Linked DNA regions of Cricetulus griseus. The protein of the gene in region 1 purifies or fractionates together with the protein of each later gene. This does not show direct contact. Links are inferred from orthologs where the notes say so. Each region holds a gene or a part of one and is shown in the gene's direction. Other genes may lie near its edges.

Region 1 (3,956 bases):
CTTAGTCCCTGCTCTTTCGGGCTCAGTCAGCTGGCATGGGGAGCTTAGCTGACAGTAGTAGCACCCCATTCTGCTCGGCAGGGATGCAGTCTCCCCTCCCCTCCTCTCTGCACCACACCCCTGCAGCCCTTGTGCTCTGTGGAGGCAGCAGGATAAGTTCCAGACAGAAACTCTGAAGGACTTTTGGACTCTTGCTCAATGGGCTGACTCAGTGAGGAGGTGGCTGGTGGCCTCTGCTTCCAGACCTCCGCCTGGGCTCCACCCACCCCTCCCCACCCCTGCCCTAGCCAACAGCTGCCAGCCCTGGCCAGCTGGGATCCCACTGAGGATGTGGGTTTGAGAAAGAGATAAGGGGTGGTCACAGGTGTTTGGGTGGGTGGTGTGCTGGGCTGTACCTACACCACCAAAGTGCTATGCAGTCATAGGGAGGCAGAGAAGCTGGTGTTTTCCTTTCTATCTTTGGTAACTTCTAGTCTGCTGTTGCTTCTATCAGCTTCCAGCAACTCAAAGACCCCTCTCTCCTCCTAGCTGTGGAGTATAGAGCAACCCAATAGACCCTTCCCTCCTAGCTGTGACGTATATAGTCTGCAGGTTAACTCCTCCTCAGGAAGTCTCCTAGGTATACTGGTGGCTTGGGATTCAGGACAACTCTCTGTCATGGAGTTGCTTCCTTGACCTTCAAGTGAAGGACCAGGTCCAGACAGCAAGGTCCCCTGGTCCTTGGGTCCCAGACCAGGCTTGGCTTTGTGCTCACTGTCCAGCCATTTCTTGCAGTGCCCTTAGCAAGTGGGACAGTAGGCCATGCCTCACGCCTCCTGTGCTCTCAAGGTGAGGATGGCTATACGTATCTCATGAAGACATCTTGTCATCTCCTTCCTTTGCCATTGTGTCCCATCTTCCTGCCTTTTCATCTTCTCCTTATTCTTTTTCTTGTTCTTGTTCAGCCACCAGTTCAGTCAACCCTTTCAGACCTAGAGAACTTTGTGATGGAGACCTAGTTGGGGGGAGGGGGAGCCAGGCTGTACCCTCAGAAAACCTCTCGCCCCAGATGATCCAGAAACACAATCCTTACTTCCATTCCCCCACCCTCAAGCATCAAACCACAGGAGGCTTCAGAGTGTTTTTGTTGTTATTTTCTCTTCAAAGCTGGGAAAACTCCAGGCATCCTACACATCCTGGCCCAGGCTGGGACTGGAGCAGCCCCTTCTTCCTCTGTGCCCCCTCCCCCCAGAAATTCATCATGGAGAGTAAGGATGAGGTCAGTGACACCGACAGTGGCATCATCCTTCAGTCTGGTGAGTGATCTAGGAAATTCCCCTGTGCTGGTCCCTGACTCCAGACTGAGTCCCTAGGCCCTGGGCTAGTGAAGCTAAAATTCCCAAAGGGCTGGGGAAGGAGAGGGTGGAGAGAGAGGGTTATGTTGGGGAAGTGGGGGCACTGGAAGGTCTGGCACCTCAAAGAACTGCAGTTTTCCTTGCTGGAAGGCACTAGCCAGGCGTTTCTGCCCTATCTGGAGTGGAGATCTGCTGTGTCCAACTTGAGCTGCAGCAATTACTAAGAAGTTGAAAACTCTTATCTAGTTAGTGTGTTAATGTCCTGTCTCTCTACTAGCCTGTGGGTCTAGTCTGGCCTGGCTTTGAGAGAGGAAAAAGATAGGAGAGGGGAAGACACAGTTCTGACCATGAGTCCCTCCCCCAGACGGGTCCCCTGGTAGGACGGACAGCTCTCTCTTTGCACTATAATGTTACCAACCTTTGGGCAGCCAGGAGACATGATGTTTTGTGTTTGTGACACAGACCATAACAGCTAGCCTGTAATTTGTGGGCAAGCATGAGACTGTAGGCGTGTGTACACTCCTAGAGGTCATTAACAGTATCCTAGGGATGCCTTGCTTCAGTTTTCATGAGCAAGTGCCCCTTGTCTTCCTGCAGGCCCGGACAGCCCTGTTTCACCAATGAAGGAGCTGACCAATGCTGTGCGCAAGCAGCAGAGGGCCCTGGAAGCGAAGCTGGAAGCCTGCTTGGAGGAACTGCGTAGGCTCTGCCTAAGGGAGGCGGTGAGGCCCCTGGAGCTCCTGCCCCGACAAACTTAGGGTTTATCTGAGGAACTATGTTTTGGGATATTGAGGCCAAGGGGAAAGCTACATTTTTGAGGGGATTGGAAATCAGATTGAGGTCTAGACCTAGAGTCTCCCTTATGTGGGTTTGACATGGACACTGGGTAGAGGGAAATTAGACCTGGCAGGGGTCCAAGTACCGAAAAGGAAGAGATGAGGGACTGAGAGGGGCCAAGGAGCTGCAAGCGCATTTGATAATTATACCTTGGGTCAGGGTAGCCCTTGGGAGGAAGTGACCAGAGGGAATGGGAAGGCAAAAGGGAAAGAGCAGAGAGCACGCTTCAAGAATGGGAATAAGAAGACAACTGTGGCATGGTGGGATGAGGTGGGCAAGAGCACAAGTTGCCCATTGGTTCCAAAGGGCCATGCAGTGTAGAATAGGACTGCAAGTTTAAATGGTTGGATAAGGGTTGAGCAAGTGGAGGGGGCCCTGCCTTGACGCTGCCTCCCCTCCCCCCAGGAGCTGACTGGTACTTTGCCTGCAGAGTATCCCCTTAAGCCAGGTGAGAAGGCACCCAAGGTCCGGCGCAGGATTGGAGCAGCATACAAGCTGGATGAGTGGGCCCTGCACAGAGAGGTGAGGAGTGTCAGAGGTGATAGTCACTGTGTCTCATCCCCAGAGACAAACTAGGGAAGCAGTCCAGTTCCCTGGCAATCTCTACCATCCAATGTGGTGCTGACTGTGTTAATCCAGGGCTTCTCCTCATGGGTAGCCCAGATGGCTCTGAGTAAGCCTGCCACCTCAGCAGCTGGAGAGCTGGGAGCTCAAGGGAAAACACTGGGCTTGGCCTAGTGGGCAGAGGATTAAGAATACTAATAACCACCTCAAAGAAGCGGTGGCCAGGGAGGTTGGTGTAGCATGAGGGCCTGTACTTTTTCAGCCTAGGTGGAAGGAGGTGGGGTAGCTCTGGCTCTAGGCAGCCTTTACCTCAGAGAAATTCCCATGGGTTGATGTGCTTGGTTCTTTGGGATCAGGGAGGAAAGTGTCCCACTTAAGTCCTCTCCCAGCCCTGCACAGCAGGTAGCTGGGGTGGGACTCTCATGCTGACTTTTCATAATGACAAGTTGGCTTTGAGCCCCTCCCACTGCTCCACCCTTTGTTGTGTGTCCCCGGACACTGCTGCCTGCTCACCACCTGGTCAAGGCTGCCTGGAGTCTTCTGTTCCCCCGGCGCCAAGGACTCTTCTTGGCCCTCACTCCCAATCCCTCCCTCAGGACCCCCTGAGCAGCCTGGAGCGCCAGTTCGCTCTGCAGCTTCAGATCACGGAAGCGGCTCACAGGTTGTGTGCAGAGGAGAACCTCAGCAGACAGGTGCGCAGGCAGCGGAAACATGCTGCACTACAAGAGGAGAAAAAGCTCAGGGAGCTGGAGCGCTGCCTGGGTGATCGGCGGCGGAACAGCGAACCCCCTCCCACCACTGTGCCCTCCATGGGCAGAGGTGAGCCCACTGTCCTGAGCTGTGCAGGCCTCACACAGCGCGGCGCTGTACTCCCTTTTGCCGTATGCTTTCGGCTATTGCCTGTGTTAACGTTTCACATTAGCGCCATCAGGGTACTCCTTCCTGGGTCCACACAGACTCCGTCCTTACCCCCATGTACCCCACCAAAAGCATCTCCACCCTGGGAGACCTTCTCCACCCCAATTCCTCCTCCTGCATCTCCCACGTAGTACCCTACTTTTATAAGACTTTATAGAGAGGAGGCGTTTCTCTGCTTGATCACGATCCAAGGGTTTATTCAACCTGGAATACTATCTTCAGGGTAAAGTGCAGTAACCCAAAGGTGATGCTCTCTCCTCTAGCTTGAGTTAGGGATTGACTATTGCTATGGGTAGCCGATCA
Region 2 (4,260 bases), on another chromosome or scaffold:
CCAGGTAATAACCGGACAGGATTAATTAGCTGGCAGCTCTCCCACCCCTGGGTCTAGGGCAGGGAAGGACTAGGGATGATGGAGACCATAGTGGAGAAAATTGCTAAGCTGATGTAAAGAGGCAGGGGCATGTGGTTCTATTGGGAAGTAGAGGGTGGGATAGGATTGGCACAACCAGGTCTCCAGCAAGGGAGGGCATGGGTCAGGCCACTCATAAAGGTCAGAGAGGGGATTAGGAGGCTCCATGACTAATCCAAAGACTTAACCAAGTCCTGGCTCTGAATCCTCCCGACCTGTGCAGCCCAGGGACACAAATGAGGACAAGACCTGGAAGTCACATCAGCCCCATTATGGGCCTATGATTTACAAATATGCCAGAGTCCCCATCACAGACAGGACCCTCACTGCTTTTCCTGCAAAACAGAAAGGATTCTGGGAGGGGGAGGCGATTAAGAAGGGCAGGACTTTGAGGACTGAAAAGCTGGGTGGAAGGAGGACCTAACCACAGAGACCTGGAGTGCTGCCAAGAGAGTCAGTGCACATTCTGGAGGCAGAGGCAGACAGATCTCTGTGAGTTCGAGACCAGCCTGGTCTACAAGAGCGAGTGCCTGTGACAGGCTCCAAAGCCAAGAGAAGCCCTGTCTCGAAAAACCAAAAAAAAAAAAAAAAAAAAAAAAAAAAAAAAAAAAAAAAAGATTCTGAGGGAAGAGGATGTCTTGGGCAAATATCTGGGGAAGGCGGGATTTTAGGAGGAGGAAGCTAAGACGAGCGTTTAGGAGAGAGGAAGAGCCTGAAAGAGAGAAAGCACCAGGAGGGTAGATCCAGGGTATTTGTGGTCCCCAATACATTTGGAAGGGATAATGCCTTTATTTTACCATCCTTTGACTGAGGAGACTGAGGTGTGGAGGAAAGTCACGTGAGGTGGTACGGAAAGAGTTCAGAGACAGCCACTGCCTGAGACAGAAGTACCCTGAGGAAGAAGGCAAAGACAGGACTGTGCGGCTCCCAGTTGCTTGGCAACCGCCGCGGTCAAAAGCTAGCGTGGAGGGCCAGGAGGTGTGGTCCCAGGAAACACCTCAAGGTTGAGACTCCGCCCTTGACAACAAGACTAATCAAATACCACCCCCTAACAACGAATTTCTGAAAAGGTTAGGCCGTCTTAGTCTGGCTCGTGCGCAGGCGCAATCCTCCCTGCTCCACGAATCCCCACCTCCTGCTCCCTCCTTTTTGAGTTTTCTTATTGGAGGATAAAGCTGCCAGGGATTTTCCTTTGTTTCGGGGGCGGGACCAAGCCCCTGGACGCACTTCGATTGGTCACTCTAACAGTCTATCGCTAGCTGTACGTGCCTGCAACCGCTTCTTGTGTGTCTATTGGTCCTGGAAATGATCCTGTGGTTTCGGGGGCGGAGCAGTCTGGGAGACCCGCAGCCGATTGGGTGGTGTCAAAGCGAGGGGCGGGCCCCAGCGGCCGGGCGGTTGGGCCGTGAAGGGAGAGTCTTTTCGGCGCTGAGGACTGGCGCTGAGGAGGCGGCGGTGGCTCCTGGGGCGTTTGAGCGGGCTCACTCGAGCCCGCGGGCCGACGCGGACTCAGGCCCAGCCGGCGGAACCGCCCCGGACTCCCCGCGGGCTTTTCTAGCCGCCATGGAGGACGGTGTCTACGGTAGGCCAGGCGAGGCGGGAGGGCGGAGTGGCTCCCAAGCCCCGCCAAGGACAGCCGAGCGGTGGTAGCGAGGCGCTCTTGTGCGCGCGGAACGGGCTTCCGGCGCGACCGAGAGCCGGGGGTCCCGGCCATTGTTTGGGCCGAGCCCTCTTCCGGCGGCGGCGGGCGGGGCGGGGCGGGGGGGCGGGGCGGAGCGACAAGAGCGGGGCGGGGCGGGGCGGGACGTACACCCGCGCGAGCCGCTGCCTTTCTTGCTGCGAACCTTGGTTCTGTGACCTCCCTACCGATCCTGACCCCGGTCGTGATGCCATGGCTTGTCTTCACTGAGCACCCAAGATTCAGACCACAGATCCAGGAGCCAGAACCTCGGTTCCTTTCCAAGAAAGGCACCCAGGATTCAGGACCCCAACTCTCCCACTATTGTGGAGCCAGGGATCAGGCCTCCTTACAAGAAATGTATCCAAGCTCCATGCCAGGGTCCCCACCGTGGTGGACCCAGGAACCAGAGTATTGGTGTTTTTCCAAGAAATGCACCCAAGGTCCAGGATCCCAGGTCATCAGCCATGATGGAGGGACCTGTTACCTTCCAAGAAATACACCCAGGATCTGGGGCCCCAGATCCCTTGCGATGATGGAGCCATGAGCCCAAGGCCCTGTGTCCTTCCAAGTAATGTTTTCAATATCCAAGCCTCCCGTTCTACTGTGATGGAACCAAGGAACCAGGGCATCCAAGTAAAACATCTAAAGTAACATCCCAAGAGTTCCTCATTGTGGTGATGGGTCCAGGAGCCCAGGGACTGGTTCCTTTCCAAGTAATACACCCAAGATTTAGGTCCACACTTTCATGATGAAGGCAGGGCTCCATCTTTCCAAGTAATGGGCCCAGAAGTTCATCCCCAGACCTATTAAGAGATGAGATTCCCAGGCACTTCTGCCCCAGACTAAGGGTTCAGAGTCTTACTCCCTCTTCCCTAAGAGTTGTAGTAGCCATTTCTCTTCTGGACAGGAATCCAGGCTCTTAGCCTTAATCTTGGCCCCCCCAGAACTCATTTCCTGACCCTGACTCCTAGAGCCCCCAGACTTGACTCCGGAGGAGCGCATGGAGCTAGAGAACATCCGACGGCGTAAGCAGGAGCTGCTGGTGGAGATCCAGCGCCTGCGAGAGGAGCTGAGTGAAGCTATGAGTGAGGTGGAGGGTCTGGAGGCCAATGAGGGCAGGTGAGGACTGTGGCGAGCTCGTGGGACACAGGGCTTGGCCAGGGCCCTGGATGCTCAAGTGTTGACCTTTGGCTGCTGCCCATCCTGCTTTTGCAGTAAGACCTTGCAGCGGAACCGGAAGATGGCAATGGGCAGGAAGAAGTTCAACATGGACCCCAAGAAGGTTAGTTAGCTGAGCAGATATATTCAGGCATGGTTTTGATATCCTAGGTTCTAGAAGTGTTAAGATAATAGGTTTCCTCTAGGCAAGACTCCTGATCCCTGTCCATCTGTTCCATGAATGTTCATGTACTGAGGCCTCTGGGAGCCCGGTCCTGTGCTGGGCAATGCTGGGAATGCTAAGACCCTGCCTTACTCTGAGGGATCCCCCTAGGTGTAAGTGCTACAGTTCAAGGTGAGATATGGCAGTAAGGGAGGGGTGCTGTGTTTACAGCTTGATGGGTAGGTATCTGCTTCTTTTTTTATACAGTGTATCATGTATTCAATTATTCTTCAAACCTGTTCCAGCTATACATGCCGGAATCAGTTAGGCAGAGGTTGAGAGGATGGGCTAGGGATGACCATGCTCTGTTAGGGTGGAGAGGCTTGGATGGGGAGCAGCAGCCTCTGCCTTGGCATAAATCTGGCATCCTCCATCCAGGGGATCCAATTCTTGGTAGAACACGAACTTCTGCAGAACACACCTGAGGAAATTGCCCGCTTCCTGTACAAGGGTGAGGGGCTGAACAAGACAGCCATTGGGGATTACCTCGGGGAAAGGTGAGCTGCCCAGCCTGTACAGTAGTACTCCCAGCCTCAATAGGAGTTCATGGGTAGAGCAGGTTTGTGGCCTCCACCTGGGTCATGATATAGTGGACTGACTGGCTCTGAGGGAGCTTGAAACTAGAGGGAGATGGACCTGTAGTCATCCAGTAAACAAGGACACTGTTGAAGTCTGAGTGTCACTGGCTTAACCACGCATATACAAGCTAGCATATGGAAAGTATTGTCTGGAAGTTTTTATCATGGGTCAGAGCTGCAAGTGTTTGGAGACCTGTGGACATGTGATTGCATAGCAACTGGGAACTAGCTATGAATTCTTAGACAAAGGTCAGTTCTGAGATAAAGGCATCTGGGAAGCGTGAGAGCAGTTGCAAGATGACATCAGGTGGTCTGTGTACTCAAAGATCTGACAAGCTACAAGAACAAGGTTCATCTGCAGGAGGGTGGCATAGTAAATGAGATGATACTGCTATGGCTCCTGTCACTCCTCCTGATGGGACTCTCTCTCTTCCCTCCTCCAGGGAAGAGCTAAACCTATCTGTGCTCCATGCTTTTGTGGATTTGCATGAGTTCACCGACCTTAATCTGGTGCAGGCCCTGCGGTGAGAATGGGACAGAAA

The links.
Region 2: the proteins of Inava (region 1) and Cyth2 purify together in Homo sapiens (co-immunoprecipitation; 3 studies listed by BioGRID and IntAct, counting the BioPlex papers as one, with this or other methods). This does not show direct contact. The link is inferred for Cricetulus griseus from reciprocal best matches to the Homo sapiens genes INAVA and CYTH2.

The regions. Positions count from the first base shown.
Region 1 is NC_048598.1:53,042,412-53,046,367, forward strand, and holds the start of Inava (innate immunity activator protein), read left to right. Parts: upstream 1-1,154; 5' UTR 1,155-1,240; coding exon 1,241-1,295; intron 1,296-1,931; coding exon 1,932-2,056; intron 2,057-2,576; coding exon 2,577-2,693; intron 2,694-3,331; coding exon 3,332-3,554; intron 3,555-3,956. UniProt on the Homo sapiens protein: Expressed in peripheral macrophages and intestinal myeloid-derived cells, is required for optimal PRR (pattern recognition receptor)-induced signaling, cytokine secretion, and bacterial clearance.
Region 2 is NC_048599.1:154,708,120-154,712,379, reverse strand, and holds the start of Cyth2 (cytohesin-2), read left to right. Parts: upstream 1-1,450; 5' UTR 1,451-1,641; coding exon 1,642-1,660; intron 1,661-1,879; exon of another isoform or gene 1,880-2,730; coding exon 2,731-2,878; intron 2,879-2,974; coding exon 2,975-3,041; intron 3,042-3,518; coding exon 3,519-3,637; intron 3,638-4,161; coding exon 4,162-4,242; intron 4,243-4,260. UniProt on the Homo sapiens protein: Acts as a guanine-nucleotide exchange factor (GEF). Promotes guanine-nucleotide exchange on ARF1, ARF3 and ARF6. Activates ARF factors through replacement of GDP with GTP.